Mus musculus: one gene and its partner. The main gene of each other region encodes a partner of the protein of the gene in region 2 in a complex. Links are inferred from orthologs where the notes say so. Each region holds a gene or a part of one and is shown on either strand. Other genes may lie near its edges. The genes, in order: Bicdl1 and Bicd2.

Evidence for each region.
Region 1: Bicd2 (region 2) and Bicdl1 share a complex: the UniProt entries of both Homo sapiens proteins name them as parts of the tripartite complex. The link is inferred for Mus musculus from reciprocal best matches to the Homo sapiens genes BICD2 and BICDL1.

The regions. Positions count from the first base shown.
Region 1 is NC_000071.6:115,728,583-115,733,074, forward strand, and holds the start of Bicdl1 (BICD family-like cargo adapter 1), read right to left. Parts: upstream 3,040-4,492; 5' UTR 2,978-3,039; coding exon 2,540-2,977; intron 1-2,539. UniProt on the Homo sapiens protein: Acts as an adapter protein linking the dynein motor complex to various cargos and converts dynein from a non-processive to a highly processive motor in the presence of dynactin.
Region 2 is NC_000079.6:49,382,783-49,386,588, reverse strand, and holds part of Bicd2 (protein bicaudal D homolog 2), read right to left. Parts: intron 3,547-3,806; coding exon 3,237-3,546; 3' UTR 1,619-3,236; coding exon of another isoform or gene 1,613-1,618; 3' UTR 1-1,612. UniProt on the Homo sapiens protein: Acts as an adapter protein linking the dynein motor complex to various cargos and converts dynein from a non-processive to a highly processive motor in the presence of dynactin.

The DNA of each region.
Region 1 (4,492 bases), on a different chromosome or scaffold from region 2:
ATAAATCTAAAAAGAATAAACTATGGGGAAAAATCACTTGTAGGCATCAAATGAAACAGACTGGAATAAATTAGTCACTCTCAATTGTAGCACTAGATGAATTAACATGGGCAGACAGGATATGCTTAGTGATGGTGCGACCCTCAACATCATCAAATAAGTACATTCATTAGCTAATAAGCAACTAGTGAATATATTTTCAAGTGTACACAAAAGAAATTTTAGAGTCAGGTACACTGCACACCTATGGTCTGGCTGGTTGGGGACTGAGGCAGGAGAATCTCTTAAGTACCGGAGTTCAAGGCCAACATGGGCAACACAGTGACACGGTGAGACCCTATCTCAAAAATAAATCATGCTTTTCAAACATACATACATACATACACACACACATACACGCACACACATATATATGTATATATACACATACACACACATATATATGTATATATATATATATACACATACACACATATACACACACACATATATGTACATACATATACATACATCTATCTATATTTATGTATATATACGTATATATATGAAGCAGGGTAAATATATGTAAGCTTTTGTTTTTAAGTTTTGATAGAGTACACATGACATATAATCTACAACCTTGACCACTTTTGCCATGTCCAGATCAGCAGTGTTAGGTATGACACTGGGCAACAACGCCCCCTCGCCGCCCGACCCCCACCCCCGAGTTTTAAAAGTTTAACACTGGCATTTAACACAAGCAGACCGGCACAAGAGTGTAGGTCTTCAATGATAGTATCTTCAGTGATAGTTTAAGCAGGTTAAGCTATTTTAGGCTTACCCATGGAGTCAATTACAAAATGTCAGAGGTCGTTATTTATCCCTTTACAGGAGAACCTTTTTGTTGCTGTGGAATTTTGAAATCCTGCCCTTACTGAGAACGCCACATGGAAACCAGGATCTGTGTAACTGTGCACCATGAAATCTGTCATTCATCAGACTGATAGGATGCTCTTTTCAAGCTCACAGTTTCTTCACTCAAGTCCCTCTCTGAAGGAATTTCCAATCTCCAGCGCACATCTCCGGGGTAGTCACTACTTTACAGTGTCATGTAACCGAATTGATTTGGAAAGAAAGGGACACCCTTGTATTTCCAGACCTCTACTTCAAGTGGAGACTAAACAAGTCAATTCATTAAGGTAGCTCTGTTGTACTCTGGCTGTCCGGGCCCAGGTTTCACAGACAACTTTTCAAGCCATGTATCAGGAGTCCATCGACCGGCAGGCCTCGATAACGGGCCCGGCTGAAACACAGGCCGCTCACTGGTTTCCTTTCTTCTGATTTAACTTTCGATAGGTGACTAGACTCTAGACGCACATCAATCCCACGGCAGAAGTGTTTGTCCACTCACATTCTGACCAAACAGAAGCAGTGGAGGAGAACCTGACAGAGGGCTAGTTTCGGGCCTGGTCACATCTGTACTATGATGTTCTCGTAATGAGAACGAGGAGAACTAGTCCAAGAAAAATGGGTAACAGTGCTGAACGCAGAGGGCCAGAAAAGCCTGGCTGTTTCCACAGCTCGAGCCTGCTCTCCTTTTTATTTTGAAAACCTACCACTTTGGAATGGCTATCTTTTTCTAGGTACCCTCAGTTACCATTCAAGACTCTTTCTGCTTAAGAGCAAAATCCCAATAAACACAGTTGTAGACGATGTTGTTGCATGGAATTAACAGAAATATTACTCATTTGAAAACGTACTTAGGATTATTTATTAACTGGGGTGTGTGTGTAGGCCGGAGGACACGTTGCTAGTGACATCCCACATGGGTTCTGAGGAACCAATTGGGGCAAGTGACCTTACCCACTGAACCATTTTGCCAGGAAACGACCCTCCCACAGGGGTGGGTGAGGGGAAATGTTTTTAGTAGTGGTTAAAAGTAACATACATGCTAAGACCCAGGACACAGGAAAGTACTACTGAGACACACATAGCTACTGAAGCCCAAACTAATCACATGATGAGCCCTGCCTTCTCTGATTTCTGCAATGGAACCACATCCCCTAATCCCTAAGCATTTGAAAGCTATATAAAGCTCCTTTCGAGGCACTTGTTCCCCACAACTCTCTGCCAGAAAGTTAAGACAAGGGCATCCAGAGGCCTTAATGCCCGGACTGGAAAGCTCTGGGCTAACACCCTGATTAGAGATTAACTGCTTCTCCGAACACCTGAAGCATATTTTAAATGCTTCTCGATGTTCTCATTTCTGTGTGCAGATATCGCCTTGGTGCTGTATAAATTAGTCATACTGTAAGCTCTATTTTAGACTCTGTGTACAATACATATATAGAACGGCCCACAACGGTGAGAGACGTGCACGGACTCACATCCGAGCTGGGTGGGAAAGGCAGGTGGGCTCAACGAACGCGCTGATGCTGGTGAAAACTATCCCTCCTGCCTCCCCGTTCTCGATGATCTTCTTCGAGGTAGACTAGGCACGGAAACGGGGAGGACAGGCAGGCACCCCAGCTCCCCACCCATGCCGCCGGAAGGTCCTCACCTCTAGCTTGTCCGTCAGCTCCTTGTGCATCTGCTCGTACTGCCGGCTCATGTCCTGGTTCCTCTCGAGCAGCGCCTTGCCTAGTCGGGCCGCCAACACCAGATCCTTCTCCTTCTGGCGGATCACCGACAGCAGCTCGGGATCCTGGGTAGGCGGCGGCGGCAGCGGCGGCCCGTGCCCCTCAACCGGAGACTCCGGCTCCGCCTGAGGATGCTCGCCGGGCTCGGACGACCGCTCCCCGGCCGCCAGCAACGCCAGCTCCTCCTCTAAGGCCAGTTCCAGTTCCCCGGGACCTCCGGGGAAGGAGACGAGGGCGGCAGCAGTGGCGGGACTCCGGACTGCGTCCCCGGCCCCAGCGGGCAGCTCCATGCAGCAGGCGCTGTCCGGCTCGGCGGGTGCTGAAGCTCGGCCGGCCAAGCCCAGGCAGAAGGCGGACATGGCCCGCGCGCGCCGAGCCCGCAGCGGTGCGGCCCGGCCGGCGCGCGCCAGGCTGCAAGGCGGGGGGTGGGGATGGGGATGGCGGGGGAGGGGCCCCGCCGCGCCGCCCCGCGCTTCGCCTCGCCTTGCGCCGCGGCACGCGCCCCCCGGGTCCCCGCGAGCCCTGGGCGCGGCGCGCGCGGGCGGGCAGGCGGGCGGCCCCTCCCCCGCGCCGGCGACACGCGCCCCCGCCCCCGGGGGGCTCAGCTGCTGGCGCGCGCCCGGGACGCGGACGACGGGGGTGGGCAAGAGCGGCAGAAGGGGAGATTGAAGAGGGGTGGCGGGGTGCGGAGCGGGAGGAGAAGCCGCGCTAAGGATCGCCGCCGCGGCCGGGGTTCAGCCGCCCTGTTGCTGCCGCTGCTGCTTCTGCTGCCGCCGTCGCCGCCGCCGCCGGCCGGCCGGCGCCTCACGGGGAGGGCTGCGCTCCGCTGTCGCTGCGTCGCTCGTTGCTGCTGCTGCCGTCGGCCGCTCCTTGCAGCCGCGCTCCATGTCCCCCGGCTCGGCGGCAGCAGCGGCGGCGACGGCGGCTGCTGCTGCTGCAGGGGCCGAGGCGGCGGCTCGACATCGTTGGCCGCACAGCCCCGGAGCAGTCCTTCCTTCTTGCCTGCCCGGCCCCGCAGCTCACCCGGCCGAGGAACCCGCCCGGCTCGCCCGCCGGGCTCGCTCCTCCGCCCGCCCGCCCCGCGCTTCCGGCCGCGCCCCTCTTCCCCGCCCCGGGGGCCGGCGCCTGACGCGCGCGGGCACCTGTTCGCCGCCGCGCCCGCGCGGGATTCGCCGACGCTCCGCTCGCCTCGGCCGCGCCCAGGTGGCGCCCGCCTAACCCGGACGTGGCCTCACGCGACGCGGGGACGGATGCGCGCGCCGCCCGTGGGGAAGCTCAGCGCGTCCTGAAAGGCCGGAGCCTCTCCCTCCCGTGTGTGTGTGTGGGGGGGGGGGGTGGGGACGGCCACGCCCCCGGCCTGGAGCCACGCCCTCAGCCTCGTTCCCAGCTCTAGGTGTGGCCACGCCCCCTGCGCGCTCACCTAAGGGTGCGGCTCTACGTCCACCACTTCTCCGACTCCTCCTCAGCTTGGCGCTCGGCCACGCCCCCTGCCTCGTTTTCGCCGGGGCCACGCCCCCCGCGCTCGCACCTCTGGGTGTGGCCTCCTCCTCCTCCAGACTCCCACGCTCTCACCCCTGATGGCGCTCTGCAGCGGCACGCGTCCTCTTCCTCGCCTCCGCGGCCCCAGCCCGCAGCCTCTCTTCGGTTTGGGGAGCTGGCGGGAGCCCCATTTGGATTGGGTCTTGTGGTGGGGTATCCTAGCTGGTCTGTGGTCCGAGGGGGCTGCGGACAATTATGTGAGTCAGGGAGCCAGGCGGAGAGCCATTTGCAGTGCGGGATTTCTATCTGAACCCCTGCAAGAGCTAAGCAGTCGGGAGAGGGAGCCCTCGAGAAAAGGAGGCGGAGGAATGACTTGGAGAACCCAGCATCTTCAT
Region 2 (3,806 bases):
ACAGAATTCTTCAATTCTTAACAATTTATATTATTATAATTTGTCCCTTTTTAGGCTGGAGGACAATTTCCCTCCCTCCACTAGTACCAATTTGACCACACCCTGAACCTCACTTAGCAAGGAGTTTACTAAGGAGTTTTACTGACTTCTGTTTCCTGAAATTAACAGTGATTAGTTACACCAAGCAAGAGAAGATATAATGTCTGACTTTCACATTTGCAAAGAATACTATGGCTAACCCTCTTCCCCACTCGCATGCCGACTTCGCCGGCTCTCCTGACGCCCTCAGCTCTTCACAAACGTGATGTCTGTACAGCTTGCTTAGCTTGTCCCATGAAGTCCATTTGGTTCCCAAAGCACAGTCCAGGTTTGTGTGCTGTCTTGTTTCTAAGCCCCTGAATTTGCATTGAAGAATCACTGACTAACAGAATTTTGCACAATCACTGTTCTCTCTCCCTCAATGAAGATGCCCAAGTACAGAGTGAGGCAGGTACCTGCTGGTCCACAATGGCCTTCAGCATTCCCAACTAGCTCTCCACTGCTGCCCGTCCTGGAGACCTGACCTGGCTGGGACACCTCCCTGAACTGATGAAGGCACTACTGGCAATGGTTACTAACAAAAAGGTGTTGAAATTGAACACCTGAAAATCGACGGCTGTAGAATTTTCTAAGTGTACCACAATTTGGCACGACAACCAGAATAACAAAACAATTCCAATTTGGAATTTCACTGGTGCAGTTGTATAAAATTCTGTTAGTCAGTCATGCTTCACAATGTCCTAAAACCCAGAAAACTCTGGAATTTGTAGGTAATACTACTCATTCAATAATTTATGCTTTCAAGTGCCTATTACTGTTTTAACCAGAGCAAAGGTCAAGTTTTCTTCTTGTTACATTGAACTATTCCTAAGAATAATAATAATAATACAATATGAAAAACCCCAGAATTGGAATACCCTGGATTTCTTAATGAACATGGCATTTAAAATCTGTAATTTCAAACATGAACCACAATGCCGTGTCCTCTAAAGGCTGCTGAACCACAGCGTGGATACACTGGCCAGCTCCTTGCCGGGTCGGAGCCTCACCCGAAGTCTAGCTACACACCATGGAGCACAGCTCTACCTTGAGTTGACGCAGGTCAACACATCAGAGCCAGGACGGACAGCTACAGGACCATGAACACAGACCACGGCACTGGAGACCGTCTCTATGCAAGGAATTAAGGAAGCAAATATAATATCAAAATATCAAAAGTGCACAGGTTGATCGGATAAAAAAGGAGCATGTGTAATAAGGAGAGCCTGTGGCAGGCGTCCAGCAGGCCCCTAGAGAGCCTGGCAGCGCGGCGGCTGTGGAAGCAGGTTCTTCGGCCACACAGAGACCTTCCCAAGCAGCAGATTGCAGCATTCTCAATAGTAAAGCTTTTTTTTTTTTTTTCTCCCATTAAAAACTTGGGGAATGCTATTTTGAAAAGAATTACAGTGGCATATCCAAACATTTCTAAGTGGACTTTAGGCTGCCCTTCCTTCCTCTGCATGGGCCACAGGAGGGGAGGGGGAGGGGCTGCTGTGTGACAGGGCCGGGTGGCCGCCTCCTCCCAGCAGCTACTCTACAGCTGAAAACAGGAGAAAACAAGACAGCATTAGAAATCAGTCGAGAGCCACTCCCTGCTCACTGACAGCTAAAGCTCTTGTTCTGGGAGTGCGCGAGCACATTAGTTGGCAGAGGAGGCCTGCATGTGTGTTAGGGGATGGGGCTCCAAGTGTCCACAAAGCCCCATACAGTGTAAGAGAAGCTGCGTTCTGGCCCAAAGAGAAAGAAAGGCAGAAGGTTGGGTGGGCATGCGGGCAGCCATTCCCAGGATGGACATGCAAGGGACACGTGTGGCCTGTTCTGCCCCCAGTGTACGACCATGTGCTGCCAAGAATCTGAGCAGACTGGGGTACCCCAGGATCCAGGGGAGAGAAAGAGAAAGCTGTTTGAGAGACTACAGGGCCATATTGGATAGTAATTGTTCCACATCATGAAAGATGCCTTTCCACAGGGAGAGACAGCCAAGCAGCTATTATGGGAGATGGAGTCTCAAGACTAGATGCCCCATGGGGACAGGGAGAGAAATACTGAGCAGAGTCCTGTTTTACAACTCACTAAAGCACACACCTGATCTGATGCCACAGCTCCGCACTGACAGAGCATCTGGAAAAGGAGAGCCCTCGGAGGCCTTTCTTCCTTCTGTAGTATCCACAAACTGCACCGAGAACCACACAACTCTTACCTGCCAGTTTTGAGCACAGCTCCGGGCCCACAAAAAGTCCCCTAGCACACAGCTGGGCTCTACTGTGCCGTGCAGTTTGGTAGAGCACTAGTAGTTCTCAAAACACTGCTTCTTTGGGTCTGACAACTTCTAGGAAAAGACCCAAGCACAAGCTGCAGATCTCAAAGGACCAAATAATAGGCTCTGAACCAAGGACCAAGGTCTGACCAGGCACTTGGAACACTCTCGTCAAGAAAGAAAACCTAGGACCTCAGGCCCTGCTAATTTGTCACCTTTCAGGACACAGCAGCATGCGGATCTTTGAGATGGAGCAGCTGCGCTGTCTGCCTGGGCTATGGTTATCGTGTCTGAGGTGTGGGGGCTCACTGCAGAACACAGGCTGCAACCAGAGATGGTCCATTCCCTCTGGGACTGCCATCCTGGATGTGGTTAGCAGTGAGATGCTGCACAAACTACAAGGAAACTCTTCATGAAACTATGCCAGCCACAGCGAGCTAACCTAGGCTAGTCCTATGATGCAGGCTAGAGCCTCACAAAACTGCTTTCAAGTGCTGATATTAGACACATGCGAGCAACATGCAAGTTTCAACTCAGGTTCTGCCCCTGTGAGTGTCCAGGGAAGAACTCACCCTTGGGTTCCCTAACAGTGCCTGGAGGCCCTGGAAAACTTTCACTCCGCTGTCTTCCACAAAGGTGTGCAGCTTCACCCCTACTTTTGATACCAGCATCCCAAAGGACAGCAACTGACATGGTATATCCTGGGGGCGGGGCTGTGGCATGAAAAGCAGCACAAAGCTCAAAGTGTCCTGGTTACAGATGTACCCCAACGCTGCCACTTGCCTAGAGTGCCGCCCTCTGTGCGTTAGTCACGTTAGGAGCGGCCTAGCACTGCTGTCCCGCTGCTGCAGCTGGGTTAGTTGAGGTGAAGCGGACGTTAGGTGTGCGGCGCCCCACAGCCCTAATCACAGTAAATGCTGTGCTTCTCGCTGCAGAACACCTGGTTGGCCAGCCCGGCGCCCTCCGCCCTCTCGCTGGCGCAGGCGCAGGTGTGACTTACGCTCGGTGAGGCTGGCTTGGCCTTGGAGGCGGCCTTGCTGCGGCCCCTGCGGGTCTGTTCATGGTCCAGCTCCAGCAGCTCCAGCCGCTGGGTGAGCGCCAGCTTCTGCTGGATGGCCATGCGCAACAGAGAGTTAAGGGTCTTCTTCTCGTCCTCGGCAGCTGCCAGCTGCCGCTGCATCTCATCCAGCTGTGTGATGTATTCGTCACACCTGTGGAGACAAAGCACAGCTGAGAGGCTGAGAGGGAGAGCAGGCCCGGGTGCCCACTGCACTCCAAGGCATCTCTCCTGGAGCCTGAGCTGGGGCCAGAGCTGGTGAAGCTTGTTCTGGTTCCTGGTGCAAAGGCTCCTTTGGAATAAGGCCATGGCCAGGACGAGAGAGGCAGTGCTCAAACAGAACAGCAAGGTTACCTTCAACTCAGTGGTACTGCATTTGTTTCTTTGCAGGGAGAGAGGGCAGAAGGCTTGGGG